Pelodiscus sinensis: one gene and its partners. The protein of the gene in region 1 interacts with the protein of each later gene in a pairwise test. Links are inferred from orthologs where the notes say so. Each region holds a gene or a part of one and is shown in the gene's direction. Other genes may lie near its edges. The genes, in order: SAT1, TCF25, TACO1 and CCDC148.

The links.
Region 2: the proteins of SAT1 (region 1) and TCF25 interact in binary tests that used the Homo sapiens proteins (3 or more experiments, as listed by UniProt). The two-hybrid records come from large-scale screens. The link is inferred for Pelodiscus sinensis from reciprocal best matches to the Homo sapiens genes SAT1 and TCF25.
Region 3: the proteins of SAT1 (region 1) and TACO1 interact in binary tests that used the Homo sapiens proteins (3 or more experiments, as listed by UniProt). The two-hybrid records come from large-scale screens. The link is inferred for Pelodiscus sinensis from reciprocal best matches to the Homo sapiens genes SAT1 and TACO1.
Region 4: the proteins of SAT1 (region 1) and CCDC148 interact in binary tests that used the Homo sapiens proteins (3 or more experiments, as listed by UniProt). The two-hybrid records come from large-scale screens. The link is inferred for Pelodiscus sinensis from reciprocal best matches to the Homo sapiens genes SAT1 and CCDC148.

The regions. Positions count from the first base shown.
Region 1 is NC_134711.1:205,581,920-205,589,196, reverse strand, and holds the start of SAT1 (diamine acetyltransferase 1), read left to right. Parts: upstream 1-4,269; 5' UTR 4,270-4,462; coding exon 4,463-4,528; intron 4,529-4,894; coding exon 4,895-4,946; intron 4,947-5,031; coding exon 5,032-5,115; intron 5,116-6,420; coding exon 6,421-6,522; intron 6,523-6,604; coding exon 6,605-6,645; intron 6,646-7,075; coding exon 7,076-7,246; 3' UTR 7,247-7,277. UniProt on the Homo sapiens protein: Enzyme which catalyzes the acetylation of polyamines. Substrate specificity: norspermidine = spermidine >> spermine > N(1)-acetylspermine. This highly regulated enzyme allows a fine attenuation of the intracellular concentration of polyamines.
Region 2 is NC_134722.1:2,323,405-2,331,263, reverse strand, and holds the start of TCF25 (ribosome quality control complex subunit TCF25), read left to right. Parts: upstream 1-4,844; 5' UTR 4,845-4,859; coding exon 4,860-5,018; intron 5,019-6,666; coding exon 6,667-6,846; intron 6,847-7,859. UniProt on the Homo sapiens protein: Component of the ribosome quality control complex (RQC), a ribosome-associated complex that mediates ubiquitination and extraction of incompletely synthesized nascent chains for proteasomal degradation.
Region 3 is NC_134714.1:129,756,062-129,763,631, forward strand, and holds the start of TACO1 (translational activator of cytochrome c oxidase 1), read left to right. Parts: upstream 1-4,570; 5' UTR 4,571-4,762; coding exon 4,763-5,024; intron 5,025-5,628; coding exon 5,629-5,735; intron 5,736-6,784; coding exon 6,785-6,918; intron 6,919-7,570. UniProt on the Homo sapiens protein: Acts as a translational activator of mitochondrially-encoded cytochrome c oxidase 1.
Region 4 is NC_134717.1:32,112,661-32,120,270, reverse strand, and holds the start of CCDC148 (coiled-coil domain-containing protein 148), read left to right. Parts: upstream 1-4,610; 5' UTR 4,611-4,748; coding exon 4,749-4,866; intron 4,867-7,610.

The DNA.
Region 1 (7,277 bases):
GTCCTATCTACAGTTGACTTAATGGACTTTTCCTAACACAGAGTGGGGAGAGGCAGGGCAAAGATGCTTGAGGACCCCAGAAAGAAGAGACAAACAGGAGGGATCCTCAAGCATCTTTGAGGAAGCAGTTCATCTTAGGTAGGGACTGTCCCTTTCTAGGGCTCATCTCGAATCTCTCCCAGCCCAGGTGGTGCTAGCGTCCCGGCTCTTCTTGGCCAGTGACTCAGTGCATACTCAAAGGAGCCTCCCCACACCTGCTCACCTTTCACTTTCTTCTGGCACTTCAAGGGTGGCAGCAGAGGAACTTTTACAGCAGTAGCACAGATGCCCCAAGACTCACCTTCAAGCTTCACTACTATACCGTCCTGAGTTAGGCTGAGTCTGGCTTTCCACTGGGCCTATAGAAGCGAGGGGCAGAGTGGGCCTTAGGGGGGATGAATGAGCCACAAGCAGCTGAGAGGGATGGGCAATGGGCTATGGGGAAAATGAGTTGGATATTGTACAGAGATTCTTCTAGTCTCGTTGATTGTTGATTTCTCCCTTGCAAGTGGCAAAGATCAGATGTCTGCTGACTTACTCACAAGTCTGCAGCATTTGATACCTGTGGCATAAGTAACATATCTCTGGCTGGAATGGTTTTGTTCTTTCCTCTCCAAGGGCATGTCTAGACTACATGCCTCTGCCGACTGAGGCATGTAAATTAGACATACCGACGTAATCAATGAAGCAGGGATTTAAATAAAAATGGATGCACATAGCACACACAGTTCTATGCCTCTTACTCTTTTCCATCAAACCCAGATGTCACCGCATCTTTGCTTTCCTAGTTCCTGGAAGAGCAAGACATAAATACAGAATCATAAGGTTGAAAGAGACCTCAGAAGGTCATTGAGGGGAGGCTGAAGGTATGATCATAAAAGCTGAGGGTTATGATCATAAAAGCAAGATCTGTCACAACTAAATCATCTCAGCCAGGGCTGTGTCAGCCCAGGACTTAAAAACCTGTAGGGCAGTGTTTCTCAAAGTGGTCCATGGACCCACTCTGAGAAAACTGCTACTGGGCTGCTCCACTTTGTTTACTTACTGGCTCCATAGCCAAGGAGCCTCATGGCTTCCATTGGCTGCAATTTCCCATTTGCAACCAAGGGGATCTGCAGGAAGTAGTGGCCCAGGTCATTCTGCTTCCCGCTGTTCCCCTTGGCTGCAAATGGCAAACCACAGCTAATGGGAGCAGTGAGGCTCCGTGGCTGCAGAGCCAGTAAGTAAACAAACCAGAGTGGCCCCGTAGCAGCTTTTTCAGAATGGGTCCGTGGATCACTTTGAGAAACACTGCCCTAGGGATGGAGACTCCACCACCTCTGTAGGTAACCCATTTCAGTGCTTCACCACCCTCCTAGTGACATAGTTTTCCCTAATAGCCAACCTAGACCTCCAGTTTGAGACCATTGCACCTTGTTCTGCCATCTGTCACCCCTGAGAACAGCCTCTCTCCTTCCTCGTTGGAACCCCTCTTCAGGTAATTGAAGGCTGCTATCAAATCCCCCTTCACTCTTCTCTTAAGTAGACTAAATAAGTCCAAATCCCTCAGCCTCTCCTCATAAGATATGTGCTCCACCCCCTAACCATTTTTGTTGCCCTCCACTGGACTCCTCCAATGCGTTCACATTCTTCTGCAATGGATACAATACTCCAAATGTGGCCTCACCAGTGCCAAATAATCACTTCCATAGATCTGCTGGCAATGCTCCTGCTAATGTACCCCAATATGCCATTAGCCTTGTTGGCTATAAGGGCACACTGTTGACTCCTATTCATCTTCTCATCCACTCATCCCCAGGTCTTTTTCTGCAGAACTGCTGCTTAGCCCTCTCCCCACTGTAGCTGTGCTTGGGATTCTTCCATAAGCAAGCTGGATGATGGACAGAGGCAGCCCGTGACTATAGGCGGACTCGGCTGCTGCCTAGGACACCATCTTAAATGGGGCGCCCGGGGTGCCCGATGCTGACATCTGTCCATTGACGGCCCTGCAGGCGGGGGCGCCAATCGCATGTTCTGCCTGGGGCACCAGCTGCCGCAGCCCACCTCGGGCCACTCCTGGTGGTGGAAGCTTAGTTTTCCCAAGATGGAGGCACTTATAATGTGTTAAAAGAAAGCAGGGAGATTATCCTTCCCATCGTCTTTCATTTAAGAAATTTCCATTGTGGGATACTTCTAGATTCTCACTGACATCTGGAAGTACAGTACAGATGATACTAGGAAACCAGATCATCATTTAACAACTTCATCTATTCAACAGACACACACCAGTTATAAAATTATCACCAGATAATGAGGTTCTGAGATGGGACACGAGGAGAGTGGGGGGAGGAAGGTTGAGGGCAGGATGGAATCACATGAAAGGTAACGTGTGGAAGGCCCTGGTGTCCCTCCCATAAATGCAGTCTTTTGTATTAATTAACACTCTCTAGTGAGACTTTTTACAAATCAAAGTCCTCTGTGTGCTGCATGCTGTTATTACAGACATCTGTGGCACTTTCATTGGAGGAAAATAGGAGGTTGATGCTTTTAGATAAACATTTCCTCTCCCCTCACAAGTTGTTCACTGTTAAGTCTCCCTGGGCTGGGGTGGCAAGTTTGTAGAAATGTTGTTGGTGCCCAGAACTCACTTCTTCCACCTGCCTAAGGCTATGGGAGGAAGTTTGGGTGCTGGGTGCAGGCTCTGGACTTGCACAGGGAATTGGGGTGTAGAAGAGGTGAGGTATCAGGCTCTGGGAGGATGTTTGGGGGCAGAAGAGGATGTAGGTAGAGAGGTGGCATATAGCATTTATCTAAGGCACCTCCTCCGGCAGTAGCTTCTAAGCAGGGGGGCACGCTGGCAGGCATGACTCCCGCAACTCTCACTAACAGCAGGGGCACTTGAAGCAGGTGGAAGGCTAGGTGCCACCAGGGGGAAAACCCAGCCCCAAACTTTGTTGAAGCAGGACCTCTGAATATTTCTGGGGCCCAGGCACCCTGGGTCCATATAACTCCCCACTCTTGGACCTGACACTGTTACGAGCAGTTGGCAGAGAGTCTCCTGTGGTTCTAAGGAGCCTGTGCTTTTGGCACTGGAAGGGAATTCTAGTGTCTGCCAGGTGTTCAGTTTTTGATCAAAATGCCAGGTTGAAAGGAATCCCTGATGGCTCCAGACAACACTGCTGACCAGACAGTTAAAAGTTTGGTCAGCAACGCTGTGTGGAAATGCAGGTTCTGAGCATCTCTTAGAAGCACGGGCATGTCACCCCTCCAACTCCTATGCATACAGGCAACCAGGGAGCTCCACATGCTGCCCCTGACCCAACAGTTGACCCTGCAGCTCCCATTGGTCAGGAATCACGGCCAATGGGAGCTGTTGGGTAGCACCTGGTCCTGTGGACAGGGCAGTAAGCAGAGCTACCTGGCTGGACCTCCACCTAGGAGCCAGAGTTGGAATGCGTCCCTGCTTCCAGGAGCTGCTTGAGGGAAGTGCTGTCTGGAGTCTGCACCCCTCAGCCCACTCCCTGCCTTCAAACCCAGCCGCACCTCAGTCTGCACCCTGGGCTGGTGTCCTTATCTCTGTACCCCACCTACCTGTTCCACCAAGGGATAGCTCAGTGGTTTGAGCATTGGCCTGCTAAACCCAGGGTTGAGAGTTCAATCCTTACGGGGGAGGGGCATTTAGGGCTTTGGTGCAAATCTGTCAGGGATGGTACTTGGTCCTGCTATGAGGGCAGGAGACTGGACTCAATGACCTTTCAAGGTCCCTGTGAGATGGTAGATGCCACCTGCTGAATCTCTTGGTCCCAGCCTCTATTCTCTCCCCCCAGCGCAGGGTGGTGCCAGTGCAAGTGGGGAAGGGAAGCCTCGCTTCCCAGCCCGGGGGAGGCCAAAATGGGTGGGGCTGCAGAGCGGGCAGCGGGTAGTGTCCCCGGGCAGGGCCATTTTCCTGGCACCGGGGGGGGGGGGGGGCGTCTCCCAGGGCCGGAGTCACTGGGGCGGGGCTGGCACTTCCCCTCTCACCCCTCCCCCTCCCGCGGAGCTGGCGCTGGAGCAGGGCGGCCTTTGCCCGCCAGGGGGCGCTGCCGTCCGCGCGCGCGCCCGGGGCCTGCAGCCGGCAAGACACGCCCCTTTCCGGAAGAGTGAGGTAATGCTTGGGTCAGGAGCGCAGTGATTGGCCGAGGATCTGCGCGGGGGGGCAGGCCATTGGCGGGGGGGCGGAGCCTGTTGCCGATATATAGAGGGGCCGCGCGGCCGGCCGCCTCCACACGGCGCTGCGGGGGCGCAGAGGGGGAATCGGCGTCGGGTCGGGTCCTGTGTCCGCGTCATGCTCGGAGCCTGACTGAGCCGCCGCGCCGGGCACACGAATGAACAAGCGGCTGCTGCTCCTCTTCACGTACCGGGGACTCGCCAGCCGGGGGGGCCGCAGGGGGAAGCGCCGCCGAAAATGGCCCCGTTCCGCATCCGCAGCGCAAGGCCCGAGGACTGCCCCGACCTGCTGCGCCTCATCAAGGTGCCGCCGGCGGGGGGATGGGTGCGGCGGGGCGGGGCTTACTGGGGGGGGGTTGCTGCTGCGGGGGGGGGGGGGTAAAATTTGTTTTCTGCCTAAATCTCCTACCCAGGACCTTTGCCCCGGTTTGGGGGGGGGGGGGGCTCGAAACTCCTCCAGTGTCAGTTTTGTCCGCCCAGAACCAAGAACTCCTAATTTGGCAAAAACAAGTTGTTTGTGTTCAGTTCACGGGCACGCGGGGGCTCTTCGCTCTTGGCAGCGGGCAAGTGGCTGCCTCTCTGCTCTGCTGTGTATAAATAGCACTTGGATAAGAAATGCCTCCTTGAGGCATGGAAATAAATGTATATCTGTGCATGTATTTTTTTTCAGGAACTAGCTAAATATGAGGATATGGAGGATCAAGTAGTCCTAACTGAAAAAGGTAACATGAGCTGCTCAGAGTTTGGTGTGGTGTAGTCCTACTACTGTTAATATTTAATACACGTCAGCCTATTGTCATTTTGTAGATCTGCTTGAAGATGGCTTTGGTGAGCACCCTTTCTACCACTGTCTTGTTGCAGAAGTTCCAGAAGAACAGTGGACCGCTGAAGGTAAGATTTCCTGCTACTCTTTTAAAATAAGAAATGCACAGGATGTATGTAACACATTATTTAAAGCTGCTGATTATACATAAAGCCCCAGCTGGGAATTTGGATAAGAAGAAAGTTAAAATACAGTTATTGATATTGAAGAGTTGTGATATTTTTCTAAAATGATCAGCCATTTTGAAGACACTGGAGACCAGGTATAATATATATGATACACAGTAATTCCATTTAATTAGTTTGTTCTTGTTTGACCCTAATTTCCCTTAATGTAATCCTGTTGAATCACATTTTTTCTTTAATTTGTCCCCAATCTTCAGGTTACAGTCTCTAGCTTCGCCATGTACATGGCCCTTCCGTGTACATGGATGGGCGGGGAGGTAACTAAAAGATCCGTTACACAATAAAGTAGATGATCATGATACATGAGGTAAGGTCTAACAGGGACAAGTACTATTCCCAAACATTTACCAAAAAACACACGGTAGATCAGAAATCCTGTATGCACTCTCTTTTTATGAGTATGTGCAAACTACTATGGCTAACAACATGATTTGAAGTCTCAAGGTTTTAGGACTGAGTGGGATGATATTGGAAGAGGGTACCAGTTTTGCACCTGACAGTTGGCTACTCTTACAGAGTGAGCCATAGAGTTGTTTCAAGCAAACAAGGAAAGCTGTTGGCCAAAGTAGATATGTTTCTGGTGCCCAGGATACAGACTGTCACTTTGTTAATGGGAACACAATCCAAGGAGGTGCTGGAGATGCCATTGTTAACTTATGGCTTCCTGGGAGCACTCCTGGTTTTCCCACTGAGTAATTTTTGAGAGATACTGATTGGAAAACAGTCTTTTAAAGGTGTAGTTTTTAGATTTACTGTTAGTGTTGTGTTACAATTTTTAAGAAAGCAGAATTGAGCAAAGTGCCAGCATATTCTGAACTGCCGTGTTAAATGTAAGCCAGTTTTATATTCCAAAGTGGACATACTGATAATAGGGTATGTATAATGTGTCTGTAGCAGAAAGCCTTAGATGTTCATTGTTCGCTATAACCGTAAACACTGCCTTCCAAGAGCTAGAAAGATAATCTTCATTCCACAACACATCTCAAGCTATCAGAATTCCTGTTTTACCTACAACTCAGTATGCTTATTGCAAACTTCCATCCTTGAACCAGGCTTATGACAGTTAATACATTAATGGTTGCATGTGAAACCTAGGTATTTAGGTTGTATGCATGCAAGTTGAAATATACTAATCTTGTTGCTTTTCAAATTTAAGGGTATTTTTGCTGATGTAATTCTTTGTTACAGGACATCTTATTGTGGGTTTTGCCATGTATTACTTCACTTATGACCCTTGGATTGGAAAATTGCTGTACCTTGAAGATTTCTTTGTAATGTCAGAGTTCAGAGGTATATTTTAACAAATAGCTTCAAAATGGACTGTTCTATAATTTTTTTTAAAAATTACAACCAACCTTTCTTGACTTTTTAGGACTTGGCATTGGTTCAGAAATTCTGAAGAATCTGAGTCAGGTAAATAGTTCCATTCTCTGTCAGATTTTTAGCACAAGAAGACCACAGCAGAGAAGCAAGTCTGTTTAGCTCAATTAATATTACCCTTCAATAGTACTTGAAAATGAGTGATTCAGTTATGGTAATAAAAGGGACAAATGGACATATGGGGTAGGTTTATCAAATTCTGTAAAATCCTACTGGTTTAGTATCTGTCAGTACTTCATAGAATCAGAATTGACAGTCCCTCATCTCCATTGTGCCCAACGAGACCAAGGTGGGTTGAAGGAAATTGCTATGATTAAAACAGCTGCCAATATTAATGGCAGTCTTCACTTCAGCAATATGATGTGTGGAGAGACTTGCCTATCGGTAATGGAGGAATAGATTTCCATATGCAATTAATAAAATTGCTACACACCTAATAAATATACTGGTCATGTGTTTGTAGGTTGCTCTCAAATGCCGCTGTAGCAGCATGCACTTTATAGTGGCAGAATGGAATGAACCTTCTATCAAGTTCTACAAAAGAAGAGGTGCTTCTGATCTGTCCTCTGAGGAAGGATGGAGGCTCTTCAAAATTGACAAAGAACATCTGTTGAAAATGGCAACTGAAGAATGAGGAATTATTCCAGCAAATGACAAATCCATGA
Region 2 (7,859 bases), on another chromosome or scaffold:
CTAGTTCAGTCACCGAGCCGGGCTCGTGAGGCGTCCCCAGTCTGCCTGTCCCCTCTGCGGCTTCCCCTGGGCTGCTCGCCTCCCTTCACCGGGCTCTGGCTGCCTGGTGCGGTCAGCCCCCGCCGCTTACCCCACCCTGGGGTGTGTATTCAGGCCCTCGGCTGTGACTGTCTCTGGGCCGCGAGGCTGCATGTGTGTCCCGGCCTGCGCACCACCCCTCCCCGCCCCGCCCCGCCCCGCGCTCCGCAGGGAGTAGCACTAATCCGGAGTGGGGCTGTGCCCCCGGGGAGCCCCCAGCACCGAGCACAGACATGGGAGGCCCGGGCCGCCCAGAGCTCAGGGTGGTACATGGGCTGGGCAAATACCGCCTGAGCCCGAAGGCACTCAGCCTGGCCTGCTGCTGCCAGGTGTCCCTGCTGCCCTGTGCGAGCGGGTGGGAGCTAGCCCGGCTGCGCTGCCCTGTTGGGGCCCATTCGCCAGATGCCCGGCGGGTGCTAAATCTCTCGGTCCCCAGCTCCGCCCCCTGGAGCCTCTCCGGGGAGTGGCCAGGGAGTAGGCCCGCCGTGGCGCCATTCCCCGGGTCTCCCCATTGGCCCTTTCGCCATCCCCGGTCGCGCCTGGCTGGCAGCTGCTCTCTGAGCAAGAAGAAAAGGCTCTGCCCAGCCCCTGCCTCCCTGGAGGTGGAAGAGACCCTGCCAGCCTCACGCCCATCCCCCTGGCCTCCTGGCACTTCCAAGGCTCATCTGGGCCCTGGACCTGCCTAGCCACAGAACAGGGAAGGCCTGGCCGTGGCCGCAGCTCCAGGCTCTCTCCAGATGTGGCCCAACATCTGTCCTGGCCAAAACGTGAGGGTCTGGACCCTGAGGAGTCCAGCTGGCCGCCTGGAGTCTCCACCATCTGCTGCTTCCTCTCGGTGGCCTGGCTGGGTCGCCAGCCACAGCAGCTGTTCAGTGTGCCCGTCGTCAGATGTTTGTCTGGGGCGTCCTTGTGCAAAGCCGCCCGGCCCCTGGCGTCCTCCTCGGCCCGGGGCCAAGAGAGACACGGGGGTTGGGCCAAAAGACTCAGCGTCCGGTGCGGGGCTTTCGCGTGGGCAGGCGGCCGGAGTACGGGGAGCAGTGCCCCCCCAGACAGCGACAGCCAGGGAAAGCACCAGGCCGTGGGAGGGGAAGGGGCTGTTCCACGATGTGCCACTCGCCCTTTGTGTCCCACCAGGGGTGCACGTTGTGTGTGCGACACAGGGCGATGCAACCTGCACGTGCCTCCCCCCCCCCACGAGCCCAGCGGCAGGGCCTGATTTCAGTCGCACGAGGGCCCACGCTTCGCACGTGCACGCGATCTGGCTCCATGCGCAGACCAGGGTTTGTGCCGGCCGAGGGTCAGTTACACACTCAGGCCTGGCCTGCTGGTTACACTGGCAAAGCCTTCTGCCGGGAATGCAGCTAGTGCCGGTAACCGAGGGCTTTGGTGGTCCTGTGTGTATCCGTTCCCCAAACCAAATAGCTGGGCTGGCAAAAAGCCCCTAATTGCAGGTCTGCCTGGGTCTACACTGGGGCTTCTGCCAGCCTCGCGGGGTCAGACTTGCCATGCTCCGAGCCAGCAAAGCTGCCCCAAAAGTTGGCAGCGTAGGTCAGCCTCCCAGGGACCCTGGCAGGTCAGGTAAATTGCCAGTGGATCTCTGCCCAGCATGACGGAACCGGGCTCTGGAAAACCAAGCCTGGCTGGGCACTGGCTGCATCTGAGGGAAGGTGCATGCTCGCTGCAGACCGGCACAGCGTGGAAGAGAAGCCAGGGCCGATTCCACAGCCCACCAGCCCCTCTCCATGCTGGGGGTGCCGTCCTGCTGAAAACACATGGCACTCTGCTGGCCCTGGGCCCCGGCTTGCAAGATTAGCCTGCACTGCCGCCCTGCTTGCTTCTCTGTTTTGACATGGCCACATTTTGCTGACGTGTGCAAATGCCAATGCCTTATCCCCCTGCCAACTCTGCAATAACGCCCCCTCCTGCCCGGGTCGGAGCTGGCAGGCGTGGGGAAATGCAGGGGACCCCGTCCCCACGTCCTGTCCCTGGCTGACCCGGTGGCCAGTGTTTTGTACACAGCCCATCCTGTACAGATGAAAAGTCCGCTGTAAATAACATGCCCCTGGACTGGCATGGTTGCTCTTGTACAGAATGTTGCTCCCGTACTAATAAATCCCTATTTTGAGCTGCATTGGTCGTCTCCCGATGCTTTGCCAGCACAGGAATCTGTAAGGGGGACGGTGAGCAGGGTGCGTGGGGTGGACAGAGGCCGCCCCAGACAGCACTGAACCGCAGGGAGCCCCGGAGAGCTCCTGAAAGCGGCACGGGAGGAAATAGCAGGGAAGGGACCCTGCAGCAGGCGTCCAGACAGCAAGCGAGCTGGGCCGGCCTGCCCCGGGCTTGTGTTGAGAAGAGGGAGGAGAGCGCGTTCCCCACCCGGACTCTCAGCACCTTGTCCCAGGAGGTGTTTGTTGGGGGGCCAGCCAGCGGCTGCAGCCGGGACTGGGGCTCACGGGAAAAAGGTCGCAGTCCACATTCAGCCCGAAGAGACTGCACTTGGCTAGACGAGGGCTGAGTTTGGGCCCTTGTACAGCAGCCTCTGAGTCACTGAGGCAGCCATCCCTCTGGGCCCCAGAGCCAGCCAAGGGCTTTCCCAGCCCTGCTGAATCGCTTTGTTCCTGTCGCGGGTGAGACGGGGAGGGCAGGCTCTCCATCCCAGGGCTGGCTGGCGCCCCACGCTCGGGAGGAGAGGGTCTCTCTCCTGGCAGGTCTCATTAACGTAGGTGGAAACCCCACAGACCTGGCTCCTGGAGCAGGGACCTCCCAGTGCCCCAGCCGGCATCAGTGCTCAGCTCCATGGCCAGCTCCGTCCCCTGCCCACCCGTGTAACCAGCCCTGTGGAACTGGTTTGCAGCATCCTGCCCTCCAGGGTCACGGTGCTGTTGAAGAAGGACGCCCGCCCGTGCGGTGCTGCGGGAGCCCAGCCCCGACCAAGCCACACGGGTCTCTGGCAAGGGCGCTTGCTCGAGTGCTGCCGGACCCTCCCTTTTTGGAGGCGGAGGAGCAGCTGGCAGAGCAGCACAGGCCGGAATTAGAGCCCCTGACGAGGGGGGCGTGCGCCCCCGGAGCTCTCAGTATGCATCCCGGACGGCCCATCCCCTGCATGCTGCCAGCCTAGCCAAGGAGTCCTGTGTCTGTGTGCAAGGGACAAAGGGAAGGGTCTTGAAAGCGGCAGGTGGACGGTGACTTTTGGCATCTCGTTTGGGGCTGAACCTTGAGCCCTCGTGCCGGCTCAGTGCACAGAAGGGGGGGCGCAGCCATGAGGAAGCCAGATTTGCTCTCCTCTAATGGGTACAGGCCAGCTCTGGCCCATGGTAGCCATTCCAGCCCAGGCAGGGAGCCCTCGGACCATGAATGCTACAGCCCTGAGGCAGGGCCGAGGGGAAGGGGATCAGGACCTGACTGTGCTGAGTGCCTCACAAACCGGAAGATCTGCTCCCTGCCCCCAACGCTTCCAGTCTAAGCAGGAACAAGCTGCACCACGTGAAAATGATAAAGTGAGGGAGGCGAGGAGGGAGGCTGCAGCGCCCAGATAGCCACGCTTAGCCCAGGGGACGTTGGCATTTTGGTTCCACGTCAGAACTTTTCCCCTCCAGCCAGGGCGGCCCCCCGGCCCTACAGCCTGGCTAATGGCCCTTGGCTTGTGGGCGTCCTGGCGGAAGTGGAGCTGGGATTTCAAACAGGACAGCGCTGCTGGGGGGGAGGTGCAGCAGCAGAAGAGGCAGCGTAGAAGGAAGCACAGAGCAGTGTCGGGGAGAAGGGGATTTGGGGCTGGAGTGGAGGTGCGTCGGAATGATGCAATGAGAGATGAGCACATAATTATTAGCAATGGTTTTATGGGGGTGCCTAAGGCCCCGCCACAAGTGACACCCCATTGTGGTCGGGGTGGTGCCCGGAATCGGTAGGCCCTGCCCTGAGCCACTTCCAGAGAGACGCGGAGAGAGGTGAAAGGGGAAGAGAGTTGAGCATCAAAAAGCAGCTGCTCCGTCGGTGCTGCCTGGCTTCGGGAGCAGTCACCTCCGGCCTGAATGCCACTAACCAGACCCCGGCTGGTTCCTCCCAGCCGCTAACCAGACCCCGGCTGTGTCTCTCCTTCACTGTCAGTGCTGGGAGTCAGGGCGGATTTAAATCCCTCCGGGGAGGCGACATGAGGGGCATGGACCCTGCGATGGACGGAGCAGGCCAGGCCGCGGTGCCGATATTTTGCCCACTGCTGGTCTCTATTCCTTCTCTTGCAGCAGGGGAGGAACCTTTCCAGGGGCGAGGGCTGCTGCCCCACAGAACAAATCAGTCGGGGGCTGCGCACAAGTGAGAAGCGAAAAACAAACCCAACAAAACCCCGAAACTCGCAGGGGCAGCTCCCAGCTCCCCACGTTCCCCTGCCCAGCAGAGCCCGGGCCCCGCCTGACAGATGCTGCGTGGCCTGCCCTGCAGTGGGGCTGGGGGCCGGACAACCAGCGCAGGCTCCTCCATGCTGGGGGGCACGAGCCTGGGGGCCGGACCCAGGGAAGCCCACGTGTTCCCCACGCAACACGTGGGAAGGCAGGGGGCGGGGCCCCACAGAGCAGGGGCTGCCCCTAGGGCCAGGGCATGGGGAGCTGCTGATGCCTCGGCCGCCTCTCGGGAGCGCGCCGCTGGGTCCCGCTGCACCTTATCTCGCGCCGGCCGAGCCCGGGGCGCGCGACGCAGGTGGCAGGCTAGAGAGCGGCGCATGCGCGGGGGGGGGGGGGGGGGGGGCACTTCCGTTCGCGCAGGCGCAGAGCGGCGGGGCGCCGGGCTCCATGTCGCGGCGGGCCCTGCGCAGGCTGCGGGGGGAGCAGCGGGGCCAGGAGCCCCTGGAGCCGGGGGGGCTGCGGCTGGGCCCCGAGGCGCCGGGGGAGGCGCCGGGCCGCGCCAGGAGGGGGCCGGAGCGGGGCGGGGTCAGCAACCTGTTCGAGCTGGTGAGCGGCCGGGGGGGTCAGGGAGGCACTGGACCGGACCAAGCAGGCGGGGTCGCGGGGGGGTCAGGGAGACACCGGACCGGACCAAGCAGGCGGGGCCGCGGGGGGGTCAGGGAGACACCGGACCGGACCAGGCAGGCGGGGCCGCGGGGGGGTCAGGGAGGCACTGGACCGGACCAGGCCGGCGTGGCCGCGGGGGGGTCAGGGAGGCACTGGACCGGACCAGGCAGGCGGGGTCACGGGGGGGTCAGGGATGCACTGGACCGGACCAGGCCGGCGTGGCCGCGGGGGGGTCAGGGAGGCACTGGACCGGACCAGGCAGGCGGGGCCGCGGGGGGGGGTCAGGGAGGCACTGGACCGGACCAGGCAGGCGGGGCCGCGGGGGGGGGTCAGGGAGGCACTGGACCGGACCAGGCAGGCGGGGCCGCGGGGGGGGGGTCAGGGAGGCACCGGACCGGACCAGGCAGGCGGGGCCGCGGGGGGGTTCGGGGAGGCACCGGACCGGACCAGGCAGGCGGGGCCGCGGGGGGGAGTCAGGGAGGCACCGGACCGGACCAGGCAGGCGGGGCCGCGGGGGGGAGTCAGGGAGGCACTGGACCGGACCAGGCAGGCGGGGCCGCGGGGGGGTTCGGGGAGGCACTGGACCGGACCAGGCAGGCAGGGCCGCGGGGGGGTCAGGGAGGCACTGGACTGGACCAGGCAGGCGGGGCTGCGGGGGGGGGTCAGGGAGGCACCGGACCGGACCAGGCAGGCGGGGCCGCGGGGGGGTCAGGGAGGCACTGGACTGGACCAGGCAGGCGGGGCTGCGGGGGGGGGGGGGTCAGGGAGGCACCGGACCGGACCAGGCAGGCGGGGCCGCGGGGGGGTCAGGGAGGCACTGGACCGGACCAGGCAGGCGGGGCCGCGGGGGGGTCAGGGAGGCACTGGACCGGACCAGGCAGGCGGGGTCGCGGGGGGGGGGTCAGAGGGTCCGAGCCAGCAGCTGGGGCGGGGTGCGATGCTGCAAACCGCCACTGTGGGACCCAGGGGGGGGGAGGCCAAGTCAGCCCCCGTCCTAGGCTGTGCCCAGCTCTGGGGCTGGTTCCCCAGGGGCTCCTCTTGGGTCCCCCCCCACAGTGACCGAGTCAGCTGGCGGGGGCGAGCGAGCTTGAGCTGCTGGCCTGGCCTGTGCTCGCTGGGCACCAGCCAGCCCCCAGGCTGCCCGCTGCACCATCTTCCCAACCCGCCTAGGCCCCCCGCCTCCCCTTTGCACCCTGGGAGCCCCAGGTCTGGCCGGGAGCCCGTTGCGCCAGGCGCTGTACAAATGCGCCACAAAGACGTGGCTCCGGCCCCACAGAGACAAATGGTGCAGGCGGTAGATGGCCCCGGGCAGGCAGGGAGTGCAAAGAAACAAGGGGAGGAGGGGCAAGCTGGGCAGGCTCCCATCTCAGCAGCCAAACTGCTGTCAGGTTCCTTGTAGGCTCCTGCTGAATGGCCGGCTTTAGCTTCTGGTCCTGTCGCAGGGCTGGGTTTTTCTCTCTCTCTCTGCAGATGTGAGTAAAATACAGAGCCCAGCTCCTGGGGTGCAGCTTTGTGCTGGGGAGAGACTCCAAGTATCCATCACGCTGTTCTCCCCAGGCCTCTGAGCCTTGTACCCCTGTTTGCATAGATAACCAACGAGGAATCGGAAGAGGCTGTAGCGTGCAACGAGGAGAGAGCATGTTCCAGACTGACAGAGCAGGATGGCCCAGGGAACGATGAAGAGGCTGAAACTGGAGCGCCAGAGAGCAATGGGCAGAGATGTGGCGAGGATGCTCAACAGCAGGACCAGACGGTGACAAACCTGCAGGTACCTGGGAATGTTCAGCAGTCTCCACCCTTGTTGGTGGGGGTGGTCATCGTCCTGAAGAGCGTTCTCCCTCCCTCTTCATGCTGGCACCTGGCGCTCTGTGCCGTACTGGGTTAGTACATCCGGCGGTGACCTCCGGGGACCAGCGCTCACAGTCCTGCCTTAAGGACAAGTGAAAGCGACTGCTTTTCACTGAGCTGCCATTGGTCCCCTCCGCAAAGCACTGCACACCTGGGCCTGTTGACAGGCTGAGGTCTAGGACTGGCACAGTGGAGCATTGCTGAGTTGGGGGTGAGGTCACTGCTGGAGCTGGGGGGAGGGGAGGACGGCAGTGGAATACCTGGAGATACCGGATATGATGACCTGCTATGAAGAGGAAGTTATTGCAGCAGTTACCTGAGCTCAGTGGCTTGTGCCAGCCTTACCAGTTCTGAGTCTTCATGAGTACTAAATTCATGCAAAACATACAGGAGGGAACAAAGCCCTGCTCACGTGAAGCAGAGATGGTTTTCCTTTTCCCTCCACTGGATACATGAGTTAGTTTGCGGGTTGCTTACGAGTACAGGTCTGCTGTCTTAACAAAGTACGCGGAAGCGCTTGTCTGAAAGATGTGCATGCGCAGAATTCCATGCAGGTTTTGAGGGAATGCAGGTTAAATACTGGCGCTTGAGGGGTTGCCAGTGGTGCTTTGTAGTTGGGTTTGAGTCTAAGAAAAGTGAGGGGGATTTCCGCAGTGAGGGGGGAGGATGGAGAGCAGCCTCACTGTTGTGTTGTAGGGGAAGCTCGTAAGAGAAGGGGCAAGTGAGCTAAGCTAGTTCCAAGTGATAATATCTCAGAGGTGGTGATGATGGAGCGCTGCCAAAGCTTTGCCTCTCCTGCTGCACTAGCTGTGTGGAGCCAGTAGTCGGCAGGAGTCTGTCGGTCTGTGCCTGTTGGGAGAGGAGTGAGCCCCTCTGCCGTGGTGGATAACACCAGGTAGCACCGTGTGGCGAGTACCATCTGTGACGTTTTAG
Region 3 (7,570 bases), on another chromosome or scaffold:
TTAAATTGGATCAGCTCTCTGTGGTGCTGTAAATTGTTGTTGGGCTATTGTTGTGGGTTGATAAAACAGGAAGGAGATTCCTATGGCTGCAGCTTTTACATCTTCCTTCATCTTTATGGAGCCCTCTGTTATGGCCCCTCCTTGCCCTATGGCTGCTATCGATATGGGTACAGCGGCTGGTAAAGTTAATGGCCAGTCTTGGTTTCCTCGTATGGCACTCATTTTCATTAGACCGCCCAAGTACCCGGGATTTCCTGTTAATATGGTCAGTTCTGCTTGTGAGATTAACTCATTCATGTTTTCCATTAACAACCTTCCTACCCACAAAATCGGGTTTTCTCCTGATCCCCTTCGGGTTCGACTTATAAGATCATTCATTTCTATTCGGGTCCTATCCCTAACTTCAGTACTGGCCGTTGGTGGCCCTCCTCTTCTCTGTTTATATACTGTTTGTGTTATTGGGCGGGTCTCGATTGGGTCACTCCCTGATCCTATATCTTCTCCTATTCTTAACCCACATGTACATTCTTCCGTGCATATTCCTTCCATTAGCATATCCCATGGGTACACACCCCCTTTGGCTACTTTTTTCCTTTCCCTCTTTTGATTTTCCTCTATGACTGATTCAGGATAAGAAGGGGGTGTGGCTATTGGTTTTATCATTTCTTTTTTTCTGTTATTTCTCCTCTTTCTCTCGCTCCTGACTTTCCTTTTTTAATAAGGCTTGTAGGGTATTTACTGTGCCTTCTAATCTAGTTATTGTATTTCCGGCTTTTATTAACAAGTCCCAAAGTACACAGACCCTTTTATTTGGATCCCATTTGTTGGCTGTTAATTTTTTCTTTCCTCTAGCATATCTTATAAGGTCCTCTAGTACCTCTCTCATCAATTTGTCAGTTGTTTGACTTGGCATTTTAAATATTTTCGGTATGGATCTGTCATATCAGCTGTTCTTTCTAATATGTTTTGTAGTTTTTTTATAATCTGTTTCTTTATATTGGGTTTTTTGCGTTACGTCTGGTAATGGTACTTTGCAATCTTTTAACTTCCATTTCACTGGATCATTATTAGCCATTAAACATCTCAACCCTGAATGTGTTACGTATAGGTAGGGTATATGTATGATTTTCTTCCGCTATTGATACTACTGCTCCTATTTTGAGCATGTGTTCTTCACCCTCATCCTTATGATATAACCAGTGGTTGAGAGGTTCTGTACCTTCCATCTTGTTTAACCGATCAAAGGGGCACCCTCTGTTCTCGTCAAATCCTGTTCGTTTTGCCATTTTGGTAACCGGTGTTTGGTTCTTTAAAGGATTTGATACCACAGACAGAGGAATACTTCCCTTTGGGGTTAACCAATGTGGAAGAATGTTGTCCTCACTCTGCGTCTGTTAGCAACAGGTGAGAGGCGGTTTATTGTCTTACAGTTGCAAGGGAAGCTGCAGCTAGCACATCTTTGAATACAAACAGTAAAGAGCCAGTATTATACTGTAACTTTCCCTTTATATACACCAATGGCTAACAAGTATTTCTTAGTTCCTCCCAGATGCTACCTTATCTTCAAGGTTCCTGCTGGAGTCAGCATTCCATCCTTATCTCCGTATGGAGGCGAGAGACGGAAGCAGTGCTTCTTACAGTTCTCGCGTTGTCAGACTCAGACTTAGCCTGAGTCTTGCTCTGCTACTGACACCCTAAGATGGCTGCGCACAAATCTTTGCTTCCACACCAAAGACTTTATTTCTATTTACTTTTATAATTAATTTTTCATTTAAATCAATTCACTATCTTTAATTGTTTAAGACAGCGTAACATACAAATAAAGAGTAGAAAAAGCAGTACAACTAAGACGAGAACAATAACCCCTCCTACAGCTATACCCTCCTAAGTTACCTTTGAACAGTTTGTGGAGTTATCAGACATACCTATATAATACTTATATTAAGACCGATAGAAGCGCTGTTTAATTCAGGAGAGATTCTTTTCTTTATGTCTTTCCTTTTGGATTTTTTGTTGCAACTTATGACCAGTGTTTCCCTTTCAGAGCTTACGAGCGGCAGCGAGATTCAGCACTGGGGAGGAAGCCCTGGTTGATCAAACCTGGCTTTTTTGGATTTGCAACCCATCTGCTTTTGGTCTGTTTAGTTCAACCTTTAATACCCTGTTTCGGTATCTTTCCTCTCACCTGACTATGCTGACGTTAGTTTTTGTTGTCTCATTCTGCCTTTTTAGAAGTTGTATTTTACTTCTGTCTACTTCTTATTTGGGGTTATCAGCACTTCGTTGCTTTTGCTGTTTTTGTTACTTTTACTTCCCTAAAAGCAGGGTTATTATTGGACATCCAATCAAATTCTGGTTTTTCGTTTACATCTCCTCTATCTTGTGTGGAGGCACAGGGAATTGGTATGCAGCCATTTCAGGTTTGTTAGCAGTGAAGCAAGAGTCAAGCTAATTCTGACTCTTGACAACGGGAAAGCTGAAATAAGACACTGCCTTCGCCTCCATACGGAGATAAGGATAGAACGCTGACTCTGGCAGGGACCTTGAGATAAGGAGCATCTGGGTGGAACTAAAATAACTGTTAGCCATTGGTGTTTGTAATAGGAAGGAGACTAATTGTTTGTTGTTATTATATGTAATGGACAGTATATAAACTTCTTCATAATTGCTTGTATTCGAAGATCTGCCTCGGGGGGCTTACCCCCCCTTCCCCGATCCGAACCAGTTTTTCCCTTGCTGCAGCTCGTAATAAAACTGCCTCTGGCTACTTGTTGCTTACAAACGCAGAGCGAAGGCTTGTTTTCTTCCACACTTGACAATACTGCCTTCCTTTTACACTTACAACTAAATTAGTGCTCATTTGACATACACAGGCCAGGCCCTAAAACATCCTTTTCATAAAGGAATACTTTATAAAAAAAAAGGTTGTGGAATATTGGTTTTGGTCATACTTAGCCCTGGCACAGTGCTGGGGACTGGACTCGATCACCTACCTATTTCCCTTTTAATCCTACCTTTCTAGGATTCATAGATATGAAGCCCAAAAAAGCCCATTGTGCCCATTCTGCTTGGCTTCCTGCCTAATCCAAGCCAAAGAATCTCCCCTAGCCATTCCTGCCTGCAGCACAGTAACTCCTGACAGAGTTAGAGCAGAACTTTGAGAGAGATAGTTCCCATCTCCACAGACAGACTCCCACAGAGGGAGCTCTCCCAATACTTCATTCCCCTCTACATAAACCCTGGTCCTTAACTCCCAGCCTCAATGTAACTCCCTTCTGCTTCCCACCCATGGAGCTCACTCTGCCTTTGCCTGCTACATTAATGAACCATCCGCTAGCAGATCTGTAAATCAGAAGGGACTGGATTATTAGAACTCACCCGAGGAGGGGCTCTCAGGCCCTGATCTTTCTCTGGAGTCCTCGGCATCCTGGATCCAGAGTTCTGCCTGCCCTCGCTCGATCAGGTGGATTAAATCTGGTGTGGAACCTGAATAGCCTGTTTGGGGGAAGAATCAGTTTTATTTCTAAAGCTTTGGTGTCAGGGATTCATACATTTGTGCAGCCCAGCACAACAAGGCCCCATTCTTGGTCAGGGTGCGTCTGTCACTCCTTCAGACGATACCACAAGCGATTCCCAAACAGGAGACTAATAAAATAAACCTTCCTTAGAAATGTCTTTCCCCCTCAGTTCAGGCTGTACTATGAAGAAGCAATTTGTATGATCCTTCTTGATAGTCTTAGGGAGATGTACCAGTTCTTTTGCTGGGGTTCAAACATTGCTCAATTGTATGGTGGTTATGTGAATGACGTTCTTCATTGTTTTCGGGGCGGTGGGGAGCTGTTACAAGCAGCAGGAGACATTTCTCCCTGCCTGATTTGCCTGAGTCAATTCCTGAGTCAAAGTTGCTGCTCCCAGTGGCTGTGCAGGGATTCCTGGAAGAGGTTGTTGCTCATGGGCTATGTGCGACCACTTCTGTGCCAGGACTCAGGAACATAATGCAACTAAACAAGTCACAGTAAAATGACCCCCAGGCGCTGTAGCCCTGATTTCTCTTAACAGGAAGCCGCCCTGAAAGGGGCTGACATTGGCCACCACTTGGCCACTCGGTGGCACAGATCAGTCGAGGTGTCCAGACAGCCGGGACGTGTTACTGCAGTGAGTAAAAGGGAACTTGGTCCTTACCCAGGGAAACCAGGGCCCGGTAATTCCTCAGCATCTGCTCCCGGTACAGCTGCTTCTCCGGCGGGGACAGGAGCTCCCACTCCGCCCGGGTGAAATACAGAGCCACGTCCTCGAACGCCACCGGGGGCTGCTGGCACAAGCGACCCGCACTCAGCGCCCGCCGCCCCGGGCCGGGAACAGGCGCCTGCGGCCCCGCCCCAGGGACGCGCCCCCCGCCCCGGGCAGCCCCGCAGCCTCCTACCTGCGCCGGCCCCGCTGCAGCCATGGCCGGGCAGCGCGCTCCGGGCCGGGACCCCGGGGAGGCCCCGCCCGCTGGTCGCTACGCGCCCCGCCCCGCGCCTGCGCCGCCTCCAGCAGCGGGCGGCTCCAGCGCCTGCACCTTCCGGCCCGGCCGCCCGGGTCCCGCGCTGCAGCTGGGGCGCAGGAGCCCGTCGGGGGGCAGGGTTGGGGCTGTGAGCGGGGCCCCGGGGCGCTGGCTGGGGCCGGACTCCTGGCTCTCTCCCGGGCCGGGCCGGGTGTGCGCGGGCAGCACAGGAGCCGCCCCCCAGCTGTGCAACCGGGGGGCGGGCTGCAGAGGCCCATGGCCCTGCCCCGCGCCGTGGGGAGGGCCGCTGCCCCGCACCGCTGCCGCCTCCTGGCCTCGCTGCTGGTGCTGAAGGAGCTGGCGCCCTGCCTGGCCGCCCCCGCCAGCTACCCGCCTGGCCGGGCCCTGCACGCGACAGGTGCCACCCCCGCCGGCCACAACAAATGGTCCAAGGTCAAACACGTCAAGGGCCCGCGGGATGCTGAGCGCTGCCGGCTCTTCCAGAAGCTCACCATGCTGCTGCGCTTTGCTGTGAGAGGTACGGGGGGGGGGCACAGCCCCCCAGCTTGACACAGCCCCCCAGGACCCCAGGGGTCTGCCACAACCAGAGGGGGCATTACAGTCCCTGCCTGCCCAACTTTGACCCCTAGCACTGACTCTGTTGCTCCTAACTCCAGCATCCCCTAATCTCTGTTACCTGAGGCCAGCATCCCCCCTGGCTGCTGGAGCAGAAGATGCTGGTCTGCGGGGTAGTGTCTCGCCTTCTCATCCTTCCTCCACTGGACCTTTGCTCTGTCCCACAGCACCTCCTCTCAGGTGACTGGGTCTCTGTCCCTTCCCCCCCAGCAGCCGCTTCATGTAAGAGGGGGGCAGACAAGTCACTGTGGTTCATGCGGCCTGGGGTAACAGCTCGTGGTGGCTGAAGAGAGGAAGGGCCTTGGGACAGGTGGTTTGGGGCAGAGAGTGTCACCAGAGGCCTCAGGTCCCGTTGCCAGCTCTGGAAGGGTGGGTGGGAACAGGGGTGTGTGAGAATCTGGGAGGGGGCTGGAGGTTTATAGCGGTGGGGGCTGGGAGCCAGGACTGCCCTGGAAGGGGATCGCCGCCGTGTCTCCCTGTGACTGCTGCTTTCTGTCCTGCTGCAGAGGGGGGACCCAACCCTGATCTCAACACCAACCTGGCCAACATCATCGAGCAGTGCCGGAGCAAGAGCATGCCCAAAGCCTCCATTGAGGCGGCCATCAAGGGAGTTGTAAGTGGCCGCATCCTGCCAGCCCAGCTCGTGGGACAGAGGGACTCATTGGCCAGGCCCGGCAGTGCCAAGGGCTGTTGGGAGCCTTGAAGGAGGGAGCCAGGCTGGGCTTGTGGCTTGACGAAGGGGAACAGCCAGCAATGTTCCTATATGAATTGGGGGGGGGGGGGGCGGGGGGAGCTTCAGCCCCTCCCTAAAGGGCGCCTGAGGGTTGGGAGTCTTGGGGCTGGGGCACTTCTGGATGGGGAGGGGGCGCACCGAGCCAGCCCCTTTCCTCTGCCTGGTGATTCTGTCTCTTTTCTGTACGGTTTTATGAGAAGCAATCCCATTCCAGGCACATTCTCTTGTCCTGGCACAACCAAACCCTGCCCTTGCTTTAAGTTAGGAGAAGAGGAAGCTGTCTACTGAATTTGGTGGTCCTAGCTCTTACCATTTAGAAGGAATTCTTGAACAGACAGACAAACTCCCTCAAACATACAGTAGATTAATATCTGAGCACACAGCACAAAGACAGTGTGCGTTACTACTGCCCGGCCAAAGGGGTTTGCTAGTTCAATGAGAAGAGATAGCTAAGCGTGTTGCAGAGTATGGTGGGGTATAACACTCGAGCATGTGCTGGAAGGCTGCCTGCCTCATCTCTCAAGCCATGGTCAAGCAACCAGTTGGGAGGGGCAAGGGAGGACTGGCTGAGAGGCATAGGAAAAGCCTGCACATTCTCACTCCTTAACCCTCCCATGGGATACAAAAGGGGTGGGACGAAGACCCCAGATTTGTGACCCTCCGATACAGAACATGAGCATAAATGGTAAGGGGTAGGAGCAGGGTTGTGCACTGTAGGTCTGGTTGGGCCTGCTAAGGGGGAGGAGGTGGGAATAGGGAACAGGGACATGGATAAAGGCTCTGTGGTGTCAGAGCCATGGTTACGCTGGCTTGAAACTAACCCCAATGCCTGCACTTTGGACCAGGGCAGGGAGTGAAGGGGAAGTGCCCTGGCACCTCCCAAGACATGAGCCCAGCCACAGAGCTGAATCTGCCCCTTCCCGCTGCAGGGCAAAGGGAAGAACTCCTTGTACCTGCTCTACGAAGCCAGAGGCCCTGGCGGATCTGCGCTGCTCATCGAAGTGCTGACGGACAACGCCAAGCGAGCCTACCAGGAGATCCGGCTCATGCTGAGCCGCAGCGGGTCAGTCCTTCCCTGCCGGGCCCGACGATCCTGCATTTCCTCACACAAGGGCCCTTCCTGTGCACCATCCAGTGACCAAACCCGACACGTCTGGGTCTTAAAACATGAGTGTTTAGTGGTGGAGATGAACACACTGCAGGAGTGCAAGGGCTGTAGCTGGCTACGGCCTTCTCTGCAGCTTTGCCAGAAGTAGGAGATATGAGAGATGCAGTCTACGTGGGGGCCAAGGCTGTCTACAGGAGGCTGTAATAACTCAACCCCAGGCTTCATTTATCAAAAGCACCCAAGTGGTTTAGGAGCCATAGTCCCATTTTCAAAAGTGATGTGAGGCCTTTTAGGAGCCTACATCTTAGATAATTAATGGGATTCAGGCTCCTATGTCATGTAGATGCTTTGGAAAATGTTAGGGAAATGCTTTGGAAAATGCTGAAGGGAGATGAATTCACGTTGGGAATAAGAGTTTACCAGGGGAGGGAATTGATTCTTGGGACAGCTCCCCTCGGGATGAGGTGGAGTCTCCATCGCTGGGAGTCTGTCAGTGGAGATGGGGCGACCCTTTCTCAGAGCTCCTCTCTAGCTCAGCCAGGAGTCACTGGCCCAGGGCCAGGAATCCAGGTTTGGCGGGGGGAGGGAGATTCTCTGGTCTGGGTTA
Region 4 (7,610 bases), on another chromosome or scaffold:
AAAATCAGTATTTTGCCAACACATGAAGCTGCTACATAAAATACTGTATCTTATTACTTTTTGTTACCTTTTAAATACATAAGCAAAGCAGTAAGTGAAAATGCTATGCTTTAAAAAGAGTCACACAAGATATGTAACATTTCCAATGTGTAATTAGAAAACTTTAATGAATTCTCTCCCTGTATAAGATGTCTTCTCAAAAACAAAATTCAAGTGTCCTTAAAAAAGTGATAGAAATGTAGCCGTGTTAATCTAGGGTAGCTGAAGCAAAATGCAGGACAATGTAGCACTTTAAAGACTAACAAGATGGTTTATTAGATGATGAGCTTTCGTGGGCCAGACCCACTTCCTCAGATCAAATAGTGGAAGAAAATAGTCACAACCATATATACCAAAGGATACAATTAAAAAAAATGAACACATGAAAAAGTGTACCAGTTTGATTTAAGTATGAAACTCCTACTGTAAGGACGAATAAAACCAAAAACCCTCTCATCCTATCATTTTCTGTTAAAAGTTTGACTTGTTTATTAGATCAGAGGACATGCTCTTCCCCCACCTCAATCTTTGATTGGAAGATGCACAGCATATTGGTCATGCTATCTACGTGTACACAAAATAGTTTCAGTAACACATTCCAAGGGTCAGGCAACACGTACAATTTTAACCCAACTAAATCAGTATTAATTGAACTTTTAAAGTTGGATATTTTAGTTTCCTTTTTTCCTAATTTTAAAATAGTTAAAATTAAACATTATGTTCCAATATTTTAATTTTCAGAGGTATCAGACATTCAGCAAATTTAAATGTTTTCTAAGACCAAAAAAAAAAAAAAAAAAAAAAAAGTACAGTCTACCCATTTCATTAGTCAAGAAAGCTTCATTCTCCCCGCCCTTCCCAAATCTTGCCCAATGATTGATAAAATGACTGACAGCCATGAGCAGAATCAAAAGCTAGCTACAAAATATTATTACTTTGAAGCCACCTTTTAAACAAGGGGCGGGGAACCTTTTTTGGGTTGGGGGTCACTGACCGACCAAAAAAAAAAAAAAAAATCAGTCAGGGAGGGGGATGCACACAAGTGAGAAGTGAGGGGGGGATCCTTACTGTAGCCCCCAACTGAGGAGAAACACACACCTCACATTCCCCTCTCACACCAGAGCCTAGGGGTGCCCAGACTAGTAGACTGTGCGCTACAGACCCTGGGGCACAGCAGGAGGGCTGGAGCACCAGTGCGGGCTCCCCAATGCTGGGGGGCGGGACCCTGAGCCTCGGGGGCTGGATCCAGACAAGCCGAGGGCTGCATCTTGTCCCCAGGGCCTGAGGTTCCCCACCCCTGCTTTAAACAGATAATTTAATTTTTAATTTTATATTCACGTGTGCATTTGGGCTATTATGTAAAATTGATATGTAGAAAATACTAAACAAGGATTAATCTATCCTAAGCTACATACATATCCGTTTCAACTAAAGATATTGTATAAATCTGCATATCAAACCAGAGTTGGCTTCTTAAAAATCAGTGTTCTACGAGAATATATTCAATGTTCCTGTGCATAATTTAGGATTTCCAACTTAAACATTCATCTACTTTGACCTCCTGTATATCACAAGCCATCAAATTTCACTAGTTACCTCTGTATTGACCCAATAACTTGTGTTTATCTGAAGTGTATCTTCCCAAAAGGCATCCAATCTTGATTTTGCAAAAACACCCCAGAGTCCAAGCATTTTAAAATCCATGTCACTCTTCCAATTCTGTACCTCCCAGCATCCCCAGACTGAATGGACATATCAGCTACTAAATCATGTCTCCCAATTTCCTTGTTTTTTGTAAAAGCGACAAGGAGCCCTGTGGCACCTCAAAGACTAACAGATTAAGCTTTCGTTGGCAAAGACCCACTTCATCTAATACTTATTTTTTGTGTGATAGTAGCAAAATGTTCATGCACTGACAAGTTAGTAAACTCAATCCATCTTCTATGAAACAGCTGCATTACTGTCACTCAGCAACCCTTATTTTAAATATATTTGTCACTTATCTTCTATTTCTGTTGCTTATTGATCAAGCAAAGAGGCTGCCTAGTTAACAGCTTTCCTGTAGCTGTGCTTGCTATCAAGGGCAGTAGAGGATTTCAGGGCTTAGATAGCTTTCTTCAAGATTTGGGTACTGGTGTGCAATCTGAAATTTAGTTATGTCAAAAACATACCTAATTTTTAAATTGTATTCAGCATATATCATCAGTGACTGCAGATCACCTAGCAGCGTGTGGACACAAGGCAGTTCAATATAATAGTCCCAAAGAGGAATATGTACAATGCTTTTTTCTTAGCTTAAAAATACTGACAAACAGATAACAGTACCGCTTGATAGCCTGATCATATGGCCCTATTAACAAACCTGTCCCAAACAATGTTTGTCAAGGCAATAGTTTGCATGATAGTGCTTGGACTTGCTTAGTGGCTACTACAGTTTCTTTAGCTAAGCGCTGCCTAATTATTTTCTTCAGCCTGACAGAGAAAGCAAAAGTTAGACAGGAAACAACCACCACTAAACTGTGCTCAGAGAAACAGTACTAGTATTCTATTATTTTATCTACAACTGGACAACTGTTTTCTAAATCCCTTTTTTCTCTCTCAAATCACTTCTCACAAATATCAACTTAAATGGCTATGACAGTTTGAACAGCTCAATGAAAATTGCCCTGGTGCTAACAATGTAAATCTGGGGAAAGACGTGGTGGCGACTGCTGCCTCCTGCTGCGTTTCTGTGTTGTTTCAGATGGTAATTGACACGCCCTGTAATTTAACAGTACCAGACAGTTCCTATCTGTCCCATCTCTGGCAAAACACTGCCTCTCTGTTCCTTTTCATTACGCATTATGAGGGTATAAATGCAGCTCAGTAAGATAACAAGCTGTAGTTCATGTTAAAGAAGAAGGATCCATGCACAGAAACATTTTGCAGATTAGATCGTCGTTCACAAGTATTAACAAAAACATATAGCAAAACGTGTTGCGGCATCACCACACACGACGAACATTTTTCCTCTCCTCCTACCCGCCCGCCCCCACTGCTATCACCATCAAGCTTCTGCAGCTCGGCTTAAGGACATAAACCAAACAATAACACTAATTGCACAAATGTTTCTGCAAAATTTGGCACAGAAATCAAAGGCCCGTGGTAGCTGGGAGGAAATGAATATCCAGCCTTCCTGAACTCGGGTGCGGTGAGGAACAAGCAACCTTCGAACTGATCTCATCGCGGAGAAATGCAGCGAGAATCTAACCTGAACCTGTGCAATGCCATGCCGAAGGCAAGCAGAGACCGCTCCTGCCCCCTCTGCAGCATGGAGACACAGAGAGGTTCGCTAGCTCCCGGGTAGATTGCTCTGGTGACCTTTGACTATTGGAGGAGAGCCGGGCAAGGAGCGATCTGTTGCAGCGGGTTGTGTGCGCGCTTCCCCTGGCGCATTCCTAACATTCCAGCACAATCTAAAGCCCCAGGAACAAACAGCGTGTGTCCCCCCTCGCTTCCCTCCCCCGCCCCACACACTGTAAAAGCCTCACACCTGCCTCTCTGCGCTCCACGCCGCAAGCGCCGCACTCCTCGAACATGCAGGCTCGGTGACCGCAGAGGGGCAGTTCCGGGGCCTAACACCTGGAAGCCCAGCCCAGGGAAGGGGCTACAGGAAACTGACTGCGTACATTCAGCCTAAGGCCGAGCAAAGCCAGTTTTACAGGGAAACGGAAAGCTGAAGGGAAACACGAGCTTGGGCGGCGCGGGGAAAAGGGGTCTGGGCGGCAGAGGTTAGAACCGAGAGGACGTTAGGGGAGCGTTTTGGGAGAGGAGTCAGGCCAAAGGCGGGAAGGGGAATCAGACCGGGGGTGGGAGGCAATGAGAAAGGCTTGGGAGGGAGGCGAGACTAGTGCGGCGGGGGGTAGGGGGCTGGGGGAGGGCATAGGGCACAGACGGGCCAAGGGAGGAGAGGCTAGAGATGGCCAAGGGGGGGGGGGGGGGCGGCTAAACAGATGTTGGGGCGAAAAGCCAAGGGAAAAAGGTCTGGGGGCGAAGGGACAGACAGGGAACCACAACCCTCTCAAGGAGACTCAACCACTTTCCTCGCCTCCCTACAGCTGGAGTATGCGCCTCCTGGCACGGCGCCCCTCTGATCCGGAGCCGGGTCCCCGCCACAGGGTACCCCCACCCTCCAGAGCGCCCCCCAGACCTCCCATGCCCCCGGAGCCTCACTCACCGCACAGCTGACGCCGCTGGTAGGGGCTGTAGGCGCGGAGAAGCCTCAGCTGCAGCCTCCCCGCCGGGCCGGGCCCTACCCCGGGGTCTCCATGCTGTTGCCGCTGCTGAGTCCAGACCCCCTTCACCCTAGTCTCCCTAGTCCCGCCCTCCACCACGGACGTCAGCACAGCGGCCTGCCTTGTGCCACCATGCTATTGGAAGAGCCCTGCTCAGGGCCGCATCTTATTGGTCGCTGCCGCATATTAAACCAACCAATGAGAGACCTACTTGAGGTTGTTATGGTTACCGATGCTGTGATGGGGCTGAGTGGAAGGACTCGGAGCTGCAGTTCCTTGAGGCGCGGGTGTGTGCGGCGGAAGGCGAGAGGGAATCATTATAGGTCACCAGGGGAAGAGGGAAAGCCCTGGGCGCAGAGAGGTCACTGGGCGGGAGAGGGGAAGGGAGTGGAGCTGCTGAGAGGACGGTAACTGGCTGGAGTAAAATCGTTTTCCATGCCCTGGGGCCTAGTAAGCAGAAGTACCTGCAGTGGTGAGGATTTACACGGGAGTCAGCAGGCTGCAGCCCTGCCCAAGGCTGGTGACTGTCAGGCTCGCCTGCCTCGCTGGAAAGGTGAGGCGAGAGGACGGGAAATGCATTGATAACGTGCAAATTCCAAAAAGTTCCTACTGTAGTGGTGAAGTTTGCCCCAGACCACTTCTACTAGTTGCTCAGGGTGGGTGAGGGGACTAATAAAATACCATCTGAGAGTCCATCATGCTTCTTTGGGTAAGTGTGAATCCCAGCCTTTTTCTGGCTCTGCCTCCTCTTCCCCCATCAGACTGTAGGTGAGATGCTGTTCATAGTAACTGACGGTTGTCACTATATGCTATATAAGTAGGTCTGGCGAAATAATTGCAGTCTATAGATCTATTGGAAGGGGAATTTACTTAGCCATGACAGAATCCAATATAATAGTTAAGCATACTTCTTGCCTGGAAGACTAGGAGCTGCAGCAACAAGTTACAAAATGGCTACTTTAGAAGGACAGCTGCTTTGACTCTTAAAAATTTAAAGGGGCAACCTGAGAAAGGTATGCTGTGCAAAATGTTCCTATTAGAGAGTAACCCTTTAGTAGAAAAGGCCGATACCTTAGTTACTAAGGAAATAGCACCTGCTAAAGAAATAATATCTGTAGTGTGTATCACTGCAGTATTATAGGTCCTAAACAAAATACAATACAGACAATTGACTACTAAATTAGTTCAACATATGTGAAGTAAATTGAAGGATTGTTATGTGAGTGCAGCTTATGTGATGAGTTGTTGCTGGTCTACAAAATAAACTAGACTTCAGTTTCAGAGTTACTTATGGTATATATGTAAATTATGCTGTGCTCTATGGTAATTTTAATCTTGATCTATCTATTATGGTGCTGGTAACATGGAAAAAAAAGTATGTGATAAGGATGGTGCCTGCTCACAGCCTTCTAATCTTACATTTAATACGTGATTTAAAAAAATATTGGCAGTGAATGTAGCCATCTTGGGTCTAGCAACAAGATAGCATTGTAGACTGAAGTTCTGTCTTACTACAGATTAGTTACAGAAAGGGAAATGACAAAACAGGCTTCCCTACAACTTTGATCTGAGGGAATCGCCTTTAGGTGTCCCATTCTACTTAGTCTTTGACCGCTTTGCGTACACTGTTGATAAGGTTTTCAGCTGTGCTTTTGTTGGATACTTTGCAATGACTGATTGTGAAATTAAACCACCAACTCATTTCACATTTAAGAAGGTTCTGAAGAAGTGGGTTGTGCCCACAAAAGCGCATAATACCATCTACATTTTTTGTTAATCTTTAAAGTGCTACCAGACTATTTGTTGTTGGTTTTTTTAAGTTTATCCTGTGTAGCCTAACTCAGCTATCCTCTGAAGCTTTTCATTTCACATTAATTACTAATCACTGAAGGACATGGGTTTTATACTGATATAACTTAATTTGGAACCCATTTGCTGGTCACCTAAATCAGCAAGTGCTCTGAATAGGTGGCTTCTCAATATTTATTTTAAAAATCCTTCCCATGACTAACAGTAAATGGGGTCTATGTACAAGTTCAGGTATATAATGTTTAATGTAATTGAGAATTACTAATATTCTCTATATGCAATGAGTTCACAACAGTGACTGGGGTTTTGGAAAAAAGCTCTTATGCCATATTGCCCTGAGTTATCTTTGCTTCCTTTTGATTGTGGGTGGCTCCAAGGACAGCTGCAAGGTAATCTACTATAGTAGTCCGTTGTGCTGACTGTGGGGCAGCTGCCCACTATATTCTTGTGCTGTGACCTGCTAGGGGTAAGCATGGTATTGCTTATAGTAGTTGAACACTGTAGAAGTGGGCTGTATGCACAAAAGCTCAGGATACCTTCTACATGTTTTGTTAGTCTATAAAGTGCTACCAGACCATTTGTTGGTTTAAATTTATACTGTTCCAGTAGTGAGCCTACTTTGACAGAGTCAATACACTGTTTTTAAAGCTTGTATTGGCAGTAATGAGAAAATAGAGCAAGGCAGATAATTTGGTGAGGTCCTGTCCCATTTGAAAGCATGTGGAAGGTCATTTTCTTTATCAATGAACCATAATAATTTCAAATCTGTTCTCAGCCACAGATTCATGCAATTTAACTACAGAAGGGGCAATTGGATAATCTACTTTGACCTCCTGTATATCACAAGCCATTAATTTCATTTGTTACCTTTCTATTGACCCCAATAACATGTTTAGTTAGAGTTTATCTTTCCAAAAGCCATCCAGTCTTGATTTAAAACTAAGAAGAAAAGCATCTAAATTTCACTTGCCAGTCTGTTCAGTGATTATGCACACATTTGACCACTAAAGTGATTAATCTGAATTTGTCTGGCTTCAGCTTCCATTAGTTTTATGTCTTTCTCAAAACTTGGGCACAAAAACATATACATAATCTCAGTGTCACTAGAAGAGGACTCTGCGTTCATTAGTAAATCCTATAAGAATTTGATGTCATTTGTTCCTTCTGAAACATCTGGGATTCCTATTACTCTTAAATCTGGTTTCTTGAAAGTATTCTCTGGCTCTTTCACTCTTGAATGAGCAGGTTAGTAGATTAGTATCTGCTGACTGTTTTATTGGTACTGCTGTTATCCTCCCTTTTTGAGCTCTTAATGAGTTTCTGCTTAATCTAACCTGTCCTACGATTAGTCCAAATAGAAGTCTTTCAAAGGGGTTCTCAATATTTTCAAAACTCTATCATGCCAGCCTTAATTTGAGCTAAGACTCTTATATTTGGGATCCTGTTACTTGGATGAGAGCAGAGAAACACCTTTGGCTACAGGTAGAA